2 linked regions of the Tamandua tetradactyla genome follow. The protein of the gene in region 1 purifies or fractionates together with the protein of each later gene. This does not show direct contact. Links are inferred from orthologs where the notes say so. Each region holds a gene or a part of one and is shown in the gene's direction. Other genes may lie near its edges. The genes, in order: CLGN and TCTN2.

What was found.
Region 2: the proteins of CLGN (region 1) and TCTN2 purify together in Homo sapiens (affinity purification with mass spectrometry; 3 studies listed by BioGRID and IntAct, with this or other methods). This does not show direct contact. The link is inferred for Tamandua tetradactyla from reciprocal best matches to the Homo sapiens genes CLGN and TCTN2.

What each region holds. Positions count from the first base shown.
Region 1 is NC_135348.1:27,628,343-27,637,349, forward strand, and holds the start of CLGN (calmegin), read left to right. Parts: upstream 1-5,055; 5' UTR 5,056-5,199; intron 5,200-5,238; exon of another isoform or gene 5,239-5,336; intron 5,337-5,687; exon of another isoform or gene 5,688-5,815; intron 5,816-9,007. UniProt on the Homo sapiens protein: Functions during spermatogenesis as a chaperone for a range of client proteins that are important for sperm adhesion onto the egg zona pellucida and for subsequent penetration of the zona pellucida.
Region 2 is NC_135331.1:8,399,458-8,408,024, reverse strand, and holds the start of TCTN2 (tectonic-2), read left to right. Parts: upstream 1-4,934; 5' UTR 4,935-5,075; coding exon 5,076-5,157; intron 5,158-5,319; coding exon 5,320-5,427; intron 5,428-5,870; coding exon 5,871-5,947; intron 5,948-6,782; coding exon 6,783-6,978; intron 6,979-8,404; exon of another isoform or gene 8,405-8,450; intron 8,451-8,567.

The sequences.
Region 1 (9,007 bases):
TTCACAAACAATGAAAGCAATAATGATAGGTTCCTATTATTTTTGCATACCAGTGCTATTCCAGTTATTGGCTGAGGTGGTTTGTTATGAGATATGTTGTGACTTTTAAAAATCTTGAAATTTAAAACTTCATTTACTGAGGGATAAAAAGGGGAGGGATCTCTTTTATTCTGTCAATTAAAAACTTGTTACCCAAGATTTTTACAGTAGCTTGCTTAAAGAATTCTAGTCAAATTCTGCTTTTTGTTTAAGTCTCCCTGCTAAGTGTTATGTTCAAAGCTTCACTCTTGCATCCAGTATTCACATCCTGTATACTGGAGATGGTTGCTCTGACATCCCCTTTTCTGCATTTTATTGGAATTTTCTTGTTCCTTCCTCTACCCCCATGAGGGTTTGAAAATTACACATTCTATTTCTCTTCTTCCAGAAACTCCTAAAATAATACTTAAACCATTTTAAGAGCATACTTAAGTTCAATTTCTTTCACACACTACCAAAGCAAATCAATATTTAATAATATATATCAGCTAAACAAGGCAAAAAACTTGGTACACTTCTGGGAACGTTCGATCTTGGCAACCCCCAACACTTCCCTTACTGCAACCACATTGAATTTTCATCTCAGATTGTTATTAATTTTTTATATAGGCATACCTCATTTTGTTGTGCTTCACTTTATTGCACCTTGCATATATGTTCTATTTTTTACAAATTGAAGGTTTGTTGCAATCCTGTGTCAGGCAAGTCTATTAGTGCCATTTTTCCAAAATGTGCTTACTTCATGTCTCTGTGTCACATTTTGGTAATTTTCACAACATTTCAAACTTTTTCATTGTTATGTCTGTCATGATGATCTGTGTTCAGTGATATGATGCCACTATTGTAATTGTTTTGGGGTGCCAGGACCACACCCATATAAGACAGTGAACATAATCAAATGTTGTGCTTGGCTACTCCATCAATAGGCATTTCTCTCATCTCTCTCCCTCTTTTCTGTCCTCCATATTGCCTAAGACACAACAATATTGAAATTAGGCCAGTTAAACATAAAATGGCCTCTAAGTGTTCAAGTGAAAGGAAAAGTTGCAGGTCTCTCACATTAAATCAAAAGCTAGAAATGATTAAGCTTAGTAAGAAAAGACATGTTGAAAACTGAGATAGGCTGAAATCTCAGCCTCTTGTGCCTAAGAGTTAGCCAAGTTGTGAATGCAAAGGAAAGTTCTTGAAGGAAAGAACTACTACTACTACTATTACTACTACTACTACTACTGCTACTACTCCAAGTGAACACATAAATGATAAGAAAGTGATCAGCCTTATCACGGATGTGGAGAAAGTTTTAGTGGTCTGGAGAGAGGATCAGCCTAGCTACAAGATTTCCTTAAGTCAAAGCCTATGAGTGTTAAAGACATGGAAGACAAATATTTTAGCAGGCAATATACGCTACAAAGAGGAGTACACAAACTAGAGGGGTGGGGCATGCTGCTGAAATTGTATACCACCTGTTTGCAGGGGAGGGCGTTTGAGGATGTGCTGGGTAGGTGGAGTGCCTTCAGGGCAGAGCTAATCTTGTGGGTGGGAGACAGACACTCACCCAGGTCAAGGCTCTCTAACCTGACATCTCACAATCCACACTCCTACACCTGGAGGCAGGTTTCCCTGTTGCTGCTCCTTGGCTGAAATGGGTGAGGAACAGGATTTTGAGGGGTGGATCTCCTTATGTTTCCCCTTGGCCCTTTCTGAACCATTATTTGTCACCACTGGCATACATCACGTCTAAGCATTCTTTGCCTTTTCCATGTTCAAGAAAATATTTTCTTCTCACATTTTAGGCTATCCTCTTCATTAATCTAATCCTTCTTAATTCCTTCCTCTTGTACCCTTTTGGTTTTTGAACAAATTTTTGTGCTTATTCCATCATTTTACTATCTTTTCAGAAATGTCTTCGGGGTTCACAAAATAGAAACTTCCGCATGGGTTCATTCTGCCAGTCATATACTTTAACCTGAAGAATTCTGATTAACACTAGCAGAAAAACAACAACAGCAACCATTATTACAAGTATTATTATTGTTTTGTATTTTTGACAAATCAATAAGGAAAAATCACAGAAAATAAGAAGTATAAATATTAGACAGGGATAGATAAAATTATTTGCCAAAGATAAATATATCTTGAAACAAAAATTAACCAATTGGAAAATGGGGTGATTGTTTCCTTTCCCCATTCTTTTCTACACCATAATTTTTATTACATTTATAAATATATATGACTTCAGGGCGGGCCACGGTAGCTCAGCAGGTACAGTTCTCGCCCGCCATGCCGGAGACCTGGGTTGGATTCCCGGCCTGCCCAGGCAAAAAAAAAAAGTGACTACAAAAATAGGTTTTAACAAAATATTTTTTTTAATTGTCTAGCTCTGGGTCCACTCATTATATCTGGGTTAAAACTTCACCGAGTTCTATAAAACCTGGCTCAGAGACACTCTATTTTAGGAGGCAAAGTGTTCTGGACAAAGCATAGGCTTTTTCGATCTGTGGGAGCTTGAACGAATTGCATAACTTCTCTTGGCCTGTTTTTTCATAAATAAAGTAAAGATAATATCTGTGTATCCATTATATACAGCACCTTACACATAAAAGGCCATCCAATAAAACAAAGCCATTATTTTGATTACAAAATAGGCTTCCAAAAGAACATTGTTCTTTTCCTGCTTCTAATGTTTTTCCAGCTCTGTGATGAACCCAGCCTCTCCATTCTTGCTTAGGTCAACCTGGACTCTTCCCAAATCTATCTATAGCTGTGTATGCCAAGGCACTTCCCAGCTCTCCTGTTTGGTATTACCTTCAAGGACTCCTCACCTTATATGTCTAAATACCATATCATTCTCTTAAGAGTCAAAACTCTGGTCTCATTTTCAGGTCATGCTTCTCTTAAATTATCAGAAGAATAGCACACTTTATTAAACTGATGAAAGTTATCTTTTTAAAATAAAATTAGAAAAATCATATTCAACCTTCCTTTCAATAAGTGGCAAAAAAAAAAAAATTGGAGCTGTAGGTAGGGTATTGCATTCCAGGTTAAGGAATTAAACTTGATTCTGTAGGTAATGAGCAGTCCTTGGAAGCTGTTGAATGAACTCTCTGAGTATTACACTATAAAGTGTAAATGGGAATCTTGAAGCAGGGGTAACCGGTTAGGCAACTGTTGGCAACAATATCTAAAGCAATGAGAGTCTTAATTAAAGACTGGCAGCAGTACTGAAAAGTGGGGACCACCTTAGAGATTTTAAAGAAAATTTATACAGGCACTGGGTGTAGAAGCCAAAGATATTTAAAAATGTGATTTGGAACTGTGTGTATCCCCAAAATTCTGTTCTTAAATCTCAACCACTCCTATGGTTGTAAACCTATTGCAAGTAGGACCTTTTTGATGAGATTATTCCAGTTAAGGTGTGGCCTCTTACTGGAGTCCTTTAAAAGGGGATGGCTACACGAGAGAGAAAGCTACAAAGCAAGAGGCTGAAACCACTGACACATGGAAAAGAAGGGAGAGACCAGCAGCCATTGCCATGTGCCCTGCCATATGCCGGAAGAACTGAGATTCCAGGGCAGCCAGTCTTCGGGAAGAAAGCATCACCTGATGATGCCTTGATTCGCACACTTTTCTCAGCCTCAAAACTTTAAGCTAGTAAACTAATAAATTCCCGTTGTTACCAGTCAACCCATTTTATGATACCTGCTTCCAGCAGCCTAGCAAATGAAAACAGATGTTCCAAGGTTTTGAATGCTGAGTAACCAATATGATGCTAAATCTAGCAAAAACTCCCCTACTTTTAAATTTTTGGTTTTCAGCTTCTTCACTACAACTATTTTTAAATAAATCTTTCAAAAGCCCTTGAGCAAATCTAGTGTATTTGTTTGGAGCTACAGAACCATTGTTGACTAATAGACCTTGGAGAGTCTGAATAAAGAAAATGTAAGGTATAATATTGTTACAAAGTACCTCAAATAAAATTTGTCTTTTTTAGCAATAAGTTAAACACTATCCAAACACTTTGCAGGGAGGGAATGATGGCATTAACAGTCTAGGAATTATGAATTTATTATTGAACAATGTGAAAATGATTAGTGATTTTTTGGCATATAGTTTACATAAAAGCTGTCTATTCCTTAATCTGAGACTCTTTAAACGAGGTCTTGGACTCATCAATTAAATGTTTTAGTTGCAGTAAAATTTAAATCGTGATTATACCAAATTTAAAGTTCACTATAATAGTAGTAGTAAAAGCTGCATAATCCTACATCTATGGGCAAAGAAGCCTGTGGTTTAACACTGCTTATGCTGCCTTTTTAGCCTACTGGTTAAAACTACCAGCTGTACGAGACAGATCTAGATTTGAACCTTGTTTTCACCATTCATTGGCTGTGTAAGCTCAGACAAGGTATGTTCAGTTTCCTCACCTGGGCTGTGAAGATTAAAAGAGATAATGAATGCAAAACCCAATGTAAGCAATCCTTAACAGCACTGTCAGAAAGAAAAAAAAAACATTTATATGATTGATGCATTATATAATTGTGTCGATTACTATTTATATACTCATTATGTTAATTATATATGACATTTTTACGTAGAGATAGGAAATGAGAAGCGTCCCTACTGACCACAACGACTTTATCTCCTAACATGTCAAACTCTCGGAAAAGCCTAAGGCTTTTATAGATTGCACCAATATTGGACGCTGTTCAAAAATATACACAAATTCAGGATGCAGTAATTTTGCAGTAGAAGGTACAATTGTCCTGCTGTAGGGAAAGCGGACGTTCCGGGGAGGAAAGTCTTTGGTCCAGTAAGGACGAATCCCTCCTTGGCAACCCTGAAGCCCGGTCCACGTTACGACGACCGAGACGAGGGGAGGCGGCGCGGCCACAAGCCGGGTGGGCGCCCCCTGCGGCGGCCGCGCCAGCGCTCACGCCGGGCACTGCGCGGCGCCCCTCCGCGGCGGTTGAGCCCCTCGGTGCAGGTGCGCGTGGCCCCAGCGTCCCGCCGCCTCCTCCCCGCCGGCAGCCGCACGCGCATGCGCGGTTAGCAGTCGCTCCCGGGCGGCCGCGGGCGGGTCGGTTTGGCGAGACGCCGGGACCAAGTGGCAGCGACTCGGACATCTGAGCTGCCACTGCTGAAAACAGGCCCGCAGGACAGGTGCGTGCCCCGGGGGCCCCCCTTCCGTAGCCCTCTGCGCCCGGGATGGCGTGAGGAGTCGGAGTCGTCGCCGCTTCCCCCCGGGTGAGGTCTCCCGGGCCGCACCCACTTCTTTGGCCACCCGAAAGGCTACCCAGGTTGGGGCCGGTGAGGGGGTGGCCCTAGAGTTCCGGGGGCTCGGCTTAGAGGCGGCAGCGAACGAGGCCCTTGGGTGGACGCTCCCGGCCTCGTGGATGCGAGGATGGGAGTTGCCGCCACCTCGGGTCGGTTGGGGCGTCCAGAACCGTCATGTCACCTGCTGCGTCCCGGCGGGCGCGGGCGCCGGGCGGGGAAGGCCGGGGAAGGCCGGGGGCCCTCGGCAGCGCGGCCGCCCCCTGCGGGCGGAGGGGCCGCAGGGAATCGAGGCCGTTATTCCAGCGGTTACCATTTCAGTCCCGTTCCGAGCTCCTGGGTGCGCGCTCTCTGGGGGTCTCGGGGGAGGGGGGACCCTGGGGGCGTCCGAGGGCTGCTCACTCCACCGGCTCCTCCCCGCAAAATCGCACACAATAACAACAGAGGCTCAGCTTACGCAATTCCCCCTTCTGTAAAGGCGAAGGCACCCAACCTTCACAGCTGGGTGAGCCGCCTGGAGCCCAGGGTGCGCCGCTCCGGGAGGGAGCGAGAGGATTGAGTTGAATCCAATGAAACCCTAATTACTAGGGACTCATTATCGCTTAGAGCCTGTTTACAATCATTCAGACACTTTAGCAGATCTTATTTATAGTATCTGTCCCAAGCAACGAGGAGGCAGTTGCTTGGGATTTAAAAGCAAATGGCATCAAAGCTCAGGATGGAGAGAGAGAAAAGAATAAATCGAATGGCCGTTGGAAAAAGCCAGAAATAGAAGGTTAATTTATATGGAAACTTTTTGATGCAGAAGAACCAGCGAAGTCTTGATTGTAGTTTTATGGTTTTGCTTGCTTTTACATTTTTACATCGCTGTGTATAGGCCATTTAAGCTCGCTAGGCAGCCCTCCTTTTGCTAATTGTAAATTTGACTTCATTTCAGTTTAGTTTTGCCTTCACTTCTAACCAGTTTGATCTTCCAATCACATTTAGACCTTCTCCCCAAATCCTTAGAATAAGATATTCTGTATCTTCATCTTATTTATCTAGTTGATAAGGTTAATTATTTGTGTGTGAATGATGTAAAGTAGGTTGATGGGTCTCTAGAAGTCAGTACTTTAAATTAGCCTTACTGCCTCCTTTCGGTACCTAACACGTTTTAGGGTTCTTAATTAGAAAACTCGAATTGTTAACTTTTGGGGGGATCAACTAGTTCAACCTTTCATTTGATAAGTGAGAAAAAAGCCCCAGAGTTTTAATCACTTGCCCTTTTAATAATAAAACTAGAATCTTGGTGTATTGGTGCCATATTCAGTGTACTTTTTTCTTCTTTTTCATGGGCAGGCTCTGGAAATTGAACCCAGGTCTCTGGCATAGCAGGCGAGAATTCTGCCCTTGAGTCACCGTTGCACTGCCGCAGTGTACCTTTTATTATGTTATTCTCTAGTTCAGTAACTGAAACCACTAGAAAGTTTTAATTTAGTGAAAGTTTTAGTTTAACTAAATATAGTTAAAACTTTCAATATAGGTGATTTTCAAAACCACTCCTGAGGCATATCAATGTTGGTTAAGTCCTGAAGTCTACCATTAAACTCAATAAAAGCAGGAAGGCGTTTCTGTTAGAAGAAATAGCATATGTAAAAGCGTGAATGTATTAAATAGGTGAGTGTTAGTGAAAAAAATCATGAAGCTTAGAAAGGGTAGAATGTACACTGATAAGTACACAGAGTTATTGATCATTTTTATAAATGAGTGGTAAATTAAAATTTGTGTTTTTAGAAAAATCATGCTAACCAGAAGACACAGGATGATTAGGGGATTGGCAAGACCAGAATGAGATTTCACTAATCTTTTTCAGAAATGATGGTTCCTAAATTAAGGCTATTCCATGGGGATAGAAAGAAGATGACATTCAGGAAATACCCTAGTGGATTTAGTTACCAGTGATGTTAAGAGATGAATAAGAAAACTGTCTTAAGATGATTACGGAGTAACTGGCTGATTTGGTTGATGAGGGGGTGTTAATGGGAACAGAGACGCATGTTTGGGAAGGAAAGAAAAGCTCAAATTAATAGAGGCTTTGAGACAGCCTTCAAAATGGATCGCTAAAAACTAACCCCTGAGTTGTAGATGAGATTTGGGAGTCCTTAGCTAGCTTTAAGGTAGAAGCAAGAAGTATAATTAGTCAACCAGGGAGAATGTGTAATATAAGAAAAGAAGGGATCCTTGAGACAGAATCCTAACAAACAGCAACATTTCAAACTGATTAGAGAAAGTGCCTGTAAAGAAGACTGGGAACAGGCAGAGAAAAGGAAGAGAATCAAGAATCAGAAATAGTAGTGTGGAAACCAGGGGAGGAGAGTGGATTCCAAGAAGGAGGCAGTACATGGTCATCAAGTTCAGGCAGTTGAATTATTGAAAAATGCCTTTGCATTTATCGACTAAGACTTGATGGTAGGAACAGTTCAAAGATATGGAAACAAATCAGAATTAAGTTAGTTTTCTATTGATGCCAGAATAAAATCATCATGAATGTAGCAATTTAAAGCAACACAGTTTTATTATTTCACAGTTCTGTAGGTCGAGTCTATCTGGGGTCTAACGGGGCAGCATTCCTTACTAGAAGCTCTAGGGGGAGAGGATCTGCTTTCTTGCTCACTCAGGTTGTTGACAGACTTTAGTTTCTTACAATTATGGGTCTGAGGTTCCTGTTTCTCTGTTGACTAGCAGCTGAGGGCAGTTCTCAGCTTTTAGAAGCTACCCACATTCCTTGGTTTATGGTTCTTTCTCCATCATCAAGGCCTGCATTGGTAGGGGAAGTCTCTCTTATTCTTCAAATCTCCTTGCCTCTTCTGTCGTATTTCTCTGGACTGACCATTCTGCCTTTCTTTTCAACTTAAAAAAAATTTTTTATTAGAGAAGTTGCGGGTTTACAAATCAATCACGCATAAAATTTGGGCTCCCCATGCACCACCCCATCACCAACACTTGCATTGTTGTGGGAAATTTGATACCATTGATGTCACTTTTTTTGTGTGTAGTTATTTTTTACAGTAGTTATATTTGTTGCAATTGATTGAAAGATAATTAGAGTAGTGCTCTAACTACTGTCCATAGTTTATGTAGGGTTATTTTCCCCATACTCCTGACCTATTTTCTTTTCAAGCATGTCTTTATTTTATTACTCATCTTCCCATACACTGGATAAAGGGAGTGTGTCTGTTGCAAGGGTTTTACAGTCACACAGTGACACGATAAAAGTTATATAGTTCAAGAATCATTATCAAAGATCAAGGCTTCTGGGGCGGGCGATGGTGGCAGTGACAGAATTCCTGCCTGCCATGCAGGACAACGTGGTTCGATTCCCAGTGCCTGCCCATGCAAAAAAAATCAAGGCTTCTGGATTATAGTTTAGTAATTTCAGGTATTTCCTTCTGGCTATTCCATTACACTGGAAACTAAAAAGGAACATCCATGTAATGATTCAGTAATCATAATCACTTGCTAAATCCTAATTTTTCAGTTCTACCTCTTCTCTCTCATTTAATCTTTCTCTCAGTCTTCAGGGATATCTGGGCAAGGACATTTTAACTGTGTGCTGGAAAGGGTGTCGCTCTTACACAGGTAGGGGAATGAACCAGGTTGATGTTCTTGGAGAGACTGGTACCTCTGGGTTTCAGGGCTTGTCTGGTATAGGAACAAT
Region 2 (8,567 bases), on another chromosome or scaffold:
CTTTTAAATGCTGCATTTAAAAATATTCTACAAGGATCACCAGCAGCCAGTCCCAGAATGCCACGGTCTTCAGGGAGAATGCATTGCCTTGCAGATGCCTTAATTTTTTACTTTTCCTAGCTTCAAAACCATGAGCCAAAAAATCCTTGTTGTTTAAGCTTAAAAAATAATTCTGGCATTAGATAAAAACAAGGAAATTGTTTGCACTTGAAAAATCTAGTTCTACGAAGAAATAGGATATCATAGTAGAAAAAGAATTTCAATGTCTTCCAGCTCAGCCTTCCTTTCACATTGGGCATCCCTTGTGTTCAATCCCAGTAGGTGATCAGCCAGCTTCTGTTTAGAATGCTTATGATGGGGCCTTTCTCTCTCCAGGAGTCAGAGGTCAGACTCTTAGAAGACATGCATACATATACACACATCTACTCTATATGGATTTAGCCAAAAATTCAGATTTCATCAAGACCACCCAGAGAGACAGAGCACGTTTTTACTCAGTGCTTTTTTTCCCTTTAAGTGTAGTCCTTCTCCCTAGCCTTCCTGTTCCCACTTTATTTTTCTTCATTAGCATTTATCTGACACACTGTATATTTTATTTATTGTCTGTCTCCTCTCCTTGGCATAAGAATGTAAGTTCCACGGAGAGTTGGAATTTTTGTATATTTTATTCAGTGCTAGTAGCTATAACAATGATCAAGAAATATTTGTTAAATTAACAATGATTATACTAGCTAGCATTTATTAAGTGTTTATTTTTAATCAGACACAGATCTATGTGTTTCACATATATTAATTCATTTAATCCTTATACTGTTACTATCCCCATTTTACAGATGAGGAAACAGAGGCAGGAAGGAGTTAAGGAACTTTTCCAGTGTTACTTAGCCAGGAAGTGTTGAAATCAGAAGTGTACCTACACAGTCTAATGCCAAAGTAAGCCCTTTTTTTTTTTTTTTAATATCAGTGCTCATTTTATTTTATTTTTGAAAGAATATTCTTCATATAAAGTATTTACCTCCTTATTCCAATAAATTTGGAGCACAATACACAGGAATATTAGGTATTACTTTATCACTTTGAAAAACTTTGAAATAGACTTTCATATTTTTTTAAAAAATGTTGGTATGTAAAAACTGGGGTCCCCTTCAATACTGTAGATTTCATTTTTTTAAACTTATTTAATGGACATGTATTTATTCCTTGGTTTGTTTCACATCTGCAATTTCAAATTAAAAAACTCATTTCTATTTTCTTCCTCCATGTGATTTACAAACCATGTGTTAACAAACGCCAGAGGGACAGCAAAGACTAAGTTTTAAACATTAAGGAAATGAGATGTTTCACATGAGCAGGTGCCTCCCTCCTCCATCTTCATGGAGTTCCACACACCACATGGGAGGCCTGCATGACACTTACATAGCCATATGTGACCATACATAACCCAGTTACATGGCTTTTCCTTTTCTAGCAGAAGTTATAACTCTGTTGCCCTATACTGGTTCCCCTTGGAGAAAAAGATCATATAGAACATGCTTTTAAGTTACTCCACATTATAACCAACCTTATTCCCTGTAATTTGTTATAAAAACATGTATTATGGCAGAGCAAGTTGTACTATTTTAAATTCATGCAAAAATAGATTTAGAGGAAAGAATATGTGAGGCTTTGGTAAACCAAGAAAGTATTTAGCTGCCTCTGAAGGGTAGGATCTTTTTCGGTAGTGGTAATAAAAAGGAAAGAAAACCTCAATTTTTGGCTTAAGCATTTTGATTTTTGAGATAAGATAGGTTACAGTCGGGTTTTTCTCTTTCCTAACCCTCCAATATGCATTCAAATTTCTGGCAAGTATAAGTTGTGACACTATTTTGCTTTTGCTTATAAAATAATTTAGAGCCTCCTGGGGTGTTGCTTTCTTTTAATCCAATGTGACTAGTTGTGTGAACAGCTCAAGAAACATCCTAATATATGAGAATGATACTGGTTTTCTTAAGTAGAATTTACTAACCTTGGACAGAATTATCCAGAGCTAAGCTCTTAAAAGACATGGTCCCACAAGCCACAGAATGAGAAAAAATATTTGCACAGCAAGTCTGATAAAGGATTTCTATTATAACTCTCACAACTTAATAATAGAATAAAACGATTAAAAAAATGGGCAAAAGATTTGAGTGACACTTTACCAAAGGAGAGACACAGATGGCAAATATACTCAATATCATCAGTCATTAGGGAAGTACAAATTAAAACCATAACGAGATACCACTATACAAGTATTAGAATGGCCAAAACCAAAAAATATTGATAATATTAAGTGCTTTTGAAGATGTAGAGCAACATCATCAATACATTGCTGGTGGGAGTATAAAATGTTATAGCAATTTTGGAAAAGAGTTTGGCAATTTCTGAAGTTAAATATATATTTACCATATGACCCAGCAATTCTACTTCTAGATGGAATTAACTAAGAGAAATGAAAACTATGTTCACACAGAAATCCATATGTAAATGTTTCTAGTGGCTTTATTCATTATCAACTAAAAACTGGAGACAACTCAAGTATCATTCAACTGGTGAATGGATAAATAAACTGTAGTACATGCATACAATGAAATACTACTCAGCAATGAAAAGGAGTAAACTGATATTTGCAACAACATGGGTGACTTTTAAAAGCATCAGGTTAAATGAAAGAACTGAGATGCTGCAGGCTACATAATGTATCATTCCACTTATATGACACACTGAAAAAGACAAAACTATAGGGGCAGAAATCAGATTAGTGGTTGCCAGAGGCTGGTGGTGGGGAGAGGGGATTAAAGTCGGAGGGGCATCAGGAGATCTTTTGATGGAATGGAAATGTTCTACATCTTGACTGATTGTGGTTACACAACCATGAGTTTGTCAAAGCTAACAGCAGTGCACACCTAAAATGTGTTAGCTACTGGATGTAAATTATAACTTACTAAACATAACTTAGAAGAAAAGGGATTCTCTTTGACCTCCACCTGCTCTCAGGTCAGGAAGTTAGAACTTAAGCTAACAAAAAGATAAGCCATCATGCAAAGCTATATATGCTAAGTGATAAATTTGAATATAGGAGCATAAGTTTGAGGTAAACAGTGGTGAAGTTCAGAAGTGTAGAAACTAAACTAAACTTTGAAAAATGGATTAGATTCAGGTAAGTGGGAGAAGATGGTTGGATGTGTGTAGGGGACCAGTTTCAGCTGGGAGGACTAAAGTATGCAAAGCCAGGTCAGCTGGATTTGGAGGAAGACGAAGACACTGAAAGCAGGCTAAGGAATGAGAAATTTAAAATTTTTTTTGAAATTGAAATTAAAAAAAAAAATCATTTTACTTAGATTTTGAACAGACACATCCCCATGGTTCAAAATTCTATTAGTACTTACCATTATTTGATATGCTACATATTTATTTATTGCCTGTCTACTCCCACAAGAAAGGAAGCTCCACATAGGCAGGGTTTTGTCTGTTAGTTCAGTGCTAGTGATTGTATTTCATACTTTGTACAGAATATTAACTTTTTAAAAAGTAGATGCTAAGGAGTCAAGAGTCTCTGTTAAGCAAGCATTTTGTTGAGCATATACTATGTGCTAATCATTTATTATTTTGTAACTTTTCAATAATTTCAGAAAAGTTGCAAAAATATTACACAGAATTTATATAAACTGTTTAGCTAGATTTCCCAATTGTTAGCATTCCATCACATTTATTTTATCACTTTGTACATATATATATATAATTTTTTTCCTCCTGAAATATTTCAGAGTACATTGCAGAGGTAAGTGCCCTTAACTTCTAAATATTTCAGTGTGTATTTTCTATAAACAACGTAACCACAGTTCAGTGATCAAAATGGCTACAATACTATAATCTATAGATAATCAAATGTCATCAATTTCTGAGGAAGGCAGAGAGATGCTGGGAGCAGTGTTTTAAGAATGGCCTTTGGGCAGGATTTGTGAAGAAGAGTCTGGAGCTCTTTCCAGTAGGTACCATGAAATATTAATGGATATTATAGGACAAAAAGGTTCTGGAGGCAGTGGAGAATGCTGAATTAAACAGAGATAAATGCTTTTGCTGCTGCAGGATTTAACAATGAAAATTTCTCAGAGGGGAAATGTGATCACTGTAATGATAGCTGCTATGATTACTGGGCACTTGTCACCATGCAATTGTTTATTAAAGAGCAATCCTAGTCCTTCCATGTAGAAGCTGGTGTCTGTAGGCTTTCTTCTTGCTATGTGGTTGAATTAACTCTAAGGATGAGAAAATTCAGTTCTTAAACTGGAGTACCTATATGTCCTCCACCTTTTCCACCACAGTTTTCCCTATTATCAATATCCTACATTAGTGTGGTACATTTGCTACAATTTATGAACCGACATCGATACTCATTATTAAAGTCCATTGGGTTACATTACTATTTTTCCTTTTGTACAGTTCTGTGGACTTTGACAAATGTATAAAGTCTGTGTACATGACTGGTAGCCACCATTACGGTATCATGCAGAATAGTTTCACGGTCCTAAAAATGCCCTGTGCTCCACCCATCCATTCCTCCCCCCAAACCCTAGCCCCTGAACCCCTGGCAACCACTAGTCTTTTGAATGTGTCTATAGTTTTGCCTTTTCCAGAATGTCATAATCGGAATTACACCATATACAGACTTTGAGACTGGCTTCTCAAACCTAGCATTATGCATGTAAAGTTCTTCCATGTCTTTTTGTAGCTTGATAACTCATTGCTTTTTATCTCTAAGAACACTTTCCTCAAGACCCTCTTTAGAATTTAGCAGCCAAAAGCATGTGGAGGACCCGGAGGGATGCTCAGCCTAGGTGCGCTGGGGAGGTGGGGGAGGAGTGCTCTTTTGGCGCTGGACCAATCGTGGTGCGCCGCTCCTCCTGGCCGGCTGCTGATTGGTGGTTGCCATAGCTCCGGGCACTCGCTTGACAAGATGGCGGCGAACGGGCGTCTGAGGCTGGGACTCTGCTTCCAGGCCTTTCGTGGATTCTAAAGCGGGCGCTTCTGGAGAGCGGGTCCGCGAGCACCAAGGCATGGGCTTTCTGTCACCCGCGCCTCTCCTGTTGGGGCTCCTTCTTTTGCAGGGCATCTTAAGGCCGCTGTGGGGTGACCTCGGTGCGTACGACGGGCTGCAGAGCTGGGGCTGAGGGGACGAGGGGTTTAAAGGGCCGAATTTAGGACTCCTGGAAGACATCTACCAGAAAAAGTCATCACACACACCTTAGGCAATGGCTATTCAACTATTAACTCCTTCCTGTCCCCTTCCTTCCCGCCTAGCTTTCGTCCCATCTTTCATCCGTATGTCCGGCCGTGAAGCCAGAGCGTCCCTGGTTGGAGGCACCGAGAATTTGACGGTATCTCTGGCCCTGCTGAAGGACGAGGCAGGTAAAGAGTCCAGGCCTTCTTTTGCTGAGTGTGGGAGTTAGATCAGCTCCAGTCCTAGGAGCCTGGCAAGATGGCATCCTCGGGGCCCCCTGCCTCCATCGCGTGCATAGTCGAGATGGGGAGGGAGAATTACTACTGTAGGCCAGAGAGGATCTGCAATAGGCTTGGTGAGAAAAAGCTTGAAATAAGCATGGCTGGCATCATTGGACTCTCCCTATAGGTGCTTTACATGCATCACCTCATTTTCTTATTAGGAACATAATCTTTATTTTTAACCTCATTTGACAAATGAAGAAATCAAGTTTCAGAGAGGTTGTCACATTAGTGCAAGGCCACACAACTTGTAAAGGATCCAGCTAGGATTCAATCTTAGGCGGCATGACTCACGAGTGCATGCCTTAACTGTTGGGCAATACTGCCTTCTGTTTTAATCTCCTCTATAGGAATGTTGCCAGTTCCTGAGTGTAGAGTGCTGAGCAATGAGACAGGAAACTGGAGTTTGACCGTGACCCCAGGAAGGGTAAGGCCAGAAACAAAACTTTCTCTGCAGTTTCTGTAGAGGTCCACATTTAGTGTTTCTGTTGTGTTTCTCTTGATTTGCTTCGCATTGTTATGAAATCGTGGTCTGTCAGATCTGGTACACACCCATACGGCCTAGAGGTTCTTATCCTAGGGTTAGCAGTCCTTGGACTAGTCTCAAGAGATCTGTGAACTCTGAAATTGTGTGTAAAATGATGTGTATATATACCTTTTTCGGATAAGGGGGACTCCATCTTCAAACAGATTATGATTCAAAGCTTCATAACCAGTGATCTCATTCATTTCTACCCTTATGTATAAGGACAATCCAGCCTGGAAAGAAAACACATCTCCCATTCAATGAGTGTTTATCTGCTGTCTGCTATGTGCAAGATATATTGGAGATAAAAGGATGAGAAAGACAGAATCTGCCTACACCCCAGGAATGAATATTTTAGTAGACTTGTCCAAAGTTATTTTGATGTGATAAGCTGGGAACAGCATTCTTTGGCTTCTTGTGAATTTAATAACTAGCTGGTAGGATTATAAAGATACTAAAAGGGTGCTAGATGAGCTGAATTATGAGGCCTGTGTTTAGCTTGCTGTAAGTATCCCAGAGTTACTGGCTTGTATGTTAAGGTGAGGATTAGAAGTCAGGACTTCTGTATTGTCATAAGTTTACAGGGTGGCATTGAACAGAATTCCTTTATCTTTATATATAATTCTCCTTTTGTGAAATGATCTGAAGCTGTGTGTTGTATTTTCTATTATGTTTACTTACAATTAAAGATGCTGTTTTGAGTCCCTATAAAAGTACAACAATATTTCCTTTTTAGGAAGCATTGGAAGTGACAGTGAGGTTGAAAAGAGATCTTCAACAGTGTTCCTCTAATGAGACTGATTCCTTCTCAGAATCACCATGTATTCTCCAAACTCTTCTGGTTTCAGCATCTCACAATTCATCCTGTTTAGCACATTTACTTATTCAAGTGGAAATTTATGCCAACTCTTCTCTGACCCGTAATGCATCAGGCAAGTAAAGTATTTGACTATTAAAAAATTCAAGTAAAATATTATCTATTGAACTGTGTGTGTGAAGGTGGGTCTATGGGAATTCTGTGCTTTCTGCATCATTTTTTTGTGAATCTACAACTTCTCTAAAAAAATGAGGTAAAAATTATCTAATTGCTTTCAGGCATATAATTTGCTTACAAGCATATATTTTTTGTACTTTATTCTTGATTCCATCTTGCCTTCCTAAGTTTATTTTCCTGTTGTTTAGTATTCTTATTTTGGAAATTTTTATTTATTAATTATTTTACCTAAGATTTATTTCATCTTGTCCACTGGCTGCATCTTTGTGAACTGCTTTATTTATTTATTTTTTCAATCTACTAAATTTATTTTGACATTTGTTCCACCTATTATTTATTTATTTTTAATCCATATGTTTTGCTCATCTGTCCATAAGGTAGATAAAAGAAGCATCAGACACAAGGTTTTCACAATCACACAGTCACATTGCGAAAGCCATATCGTTATACAATCATCTTCAAGAAACATGGCTACTGGAATACAGCTCTACATTTTCAGGCAGTTTCCTCCAGCCTCTCTGTTACGCCTTAACTAGAAAGGTGATATCTATTTAATGCATAAGAATAACCTCCAGGATAACCTCTCAATTCTGTTTGGAATCTCTCAGCCATTGACACTTTATTTTGTCTCATTTCTCTCTTTCCCCTTTTGGTTGAGAAAGTTTCCTCAATCCCTTGGTACTGAGTCCCAGCTGTGCGCTGCTTTAAATCCTTTTTGGAGAACATGAATTGAAAATTAAGCTAATTTATTTCTATGTATTAATTCCTATAACTTCATATATATATATATATATATATATATATATATATATATATATATATAAAAGGAATGGAAAGACTCTAAGTGAGTTTATAACAAAACAGCAGATTTTCTATGAAAGCTTTTGACCTCCAGTTCCTCTTCCCAGCATTAGCTGGTCAGTATTCCTTTGCTTAAAAACACGTACATATGCATAGTAATAAGACATCATTTACAGTATTTTAGCCCTTTAAAAATATATATAACTTTGAGATTGTGCTATATGAATACATGTAGGTCCACCCCATTCTTTTTAGCAGTGGCATGGTATTCTGTTGAGTGGATATAGCATTGTTTAATTAACCAATCCCTTACCGAGTCATTCTCAACGTTTTGCTGTTGTAACTAGTGCGACAGCAAATCGTGTGCACATGTACATAAATCTTTGGACATGGGAAAATGGTTTTGTGTGATTCTTCCCTTCATATAATGTCAGTTTTCTGAAAACAAAAGAACATTCAGGTAGATGTGCCAATGTTGAGGTGTCTGCCCTGATCGGTGTCCATACTTGGCACCTACCTTGTCCCCTGCAGCGCACCTACCTTGTCCCCTGCAGCGCACCTACCTTGTCCCCTGCAGCAAACTCTAGCTGCTCTTGCCTTTATGGTCATCTGGAATGGAGGAAGAAGATTTTGTCTTTAGTAGCCAAGGCCTTTCACTTTAAGACTCTGGCATTGTGACTTTCCTTTCTTATCACATCCCTTTAACAGTATTCCTCTTGTGAATGT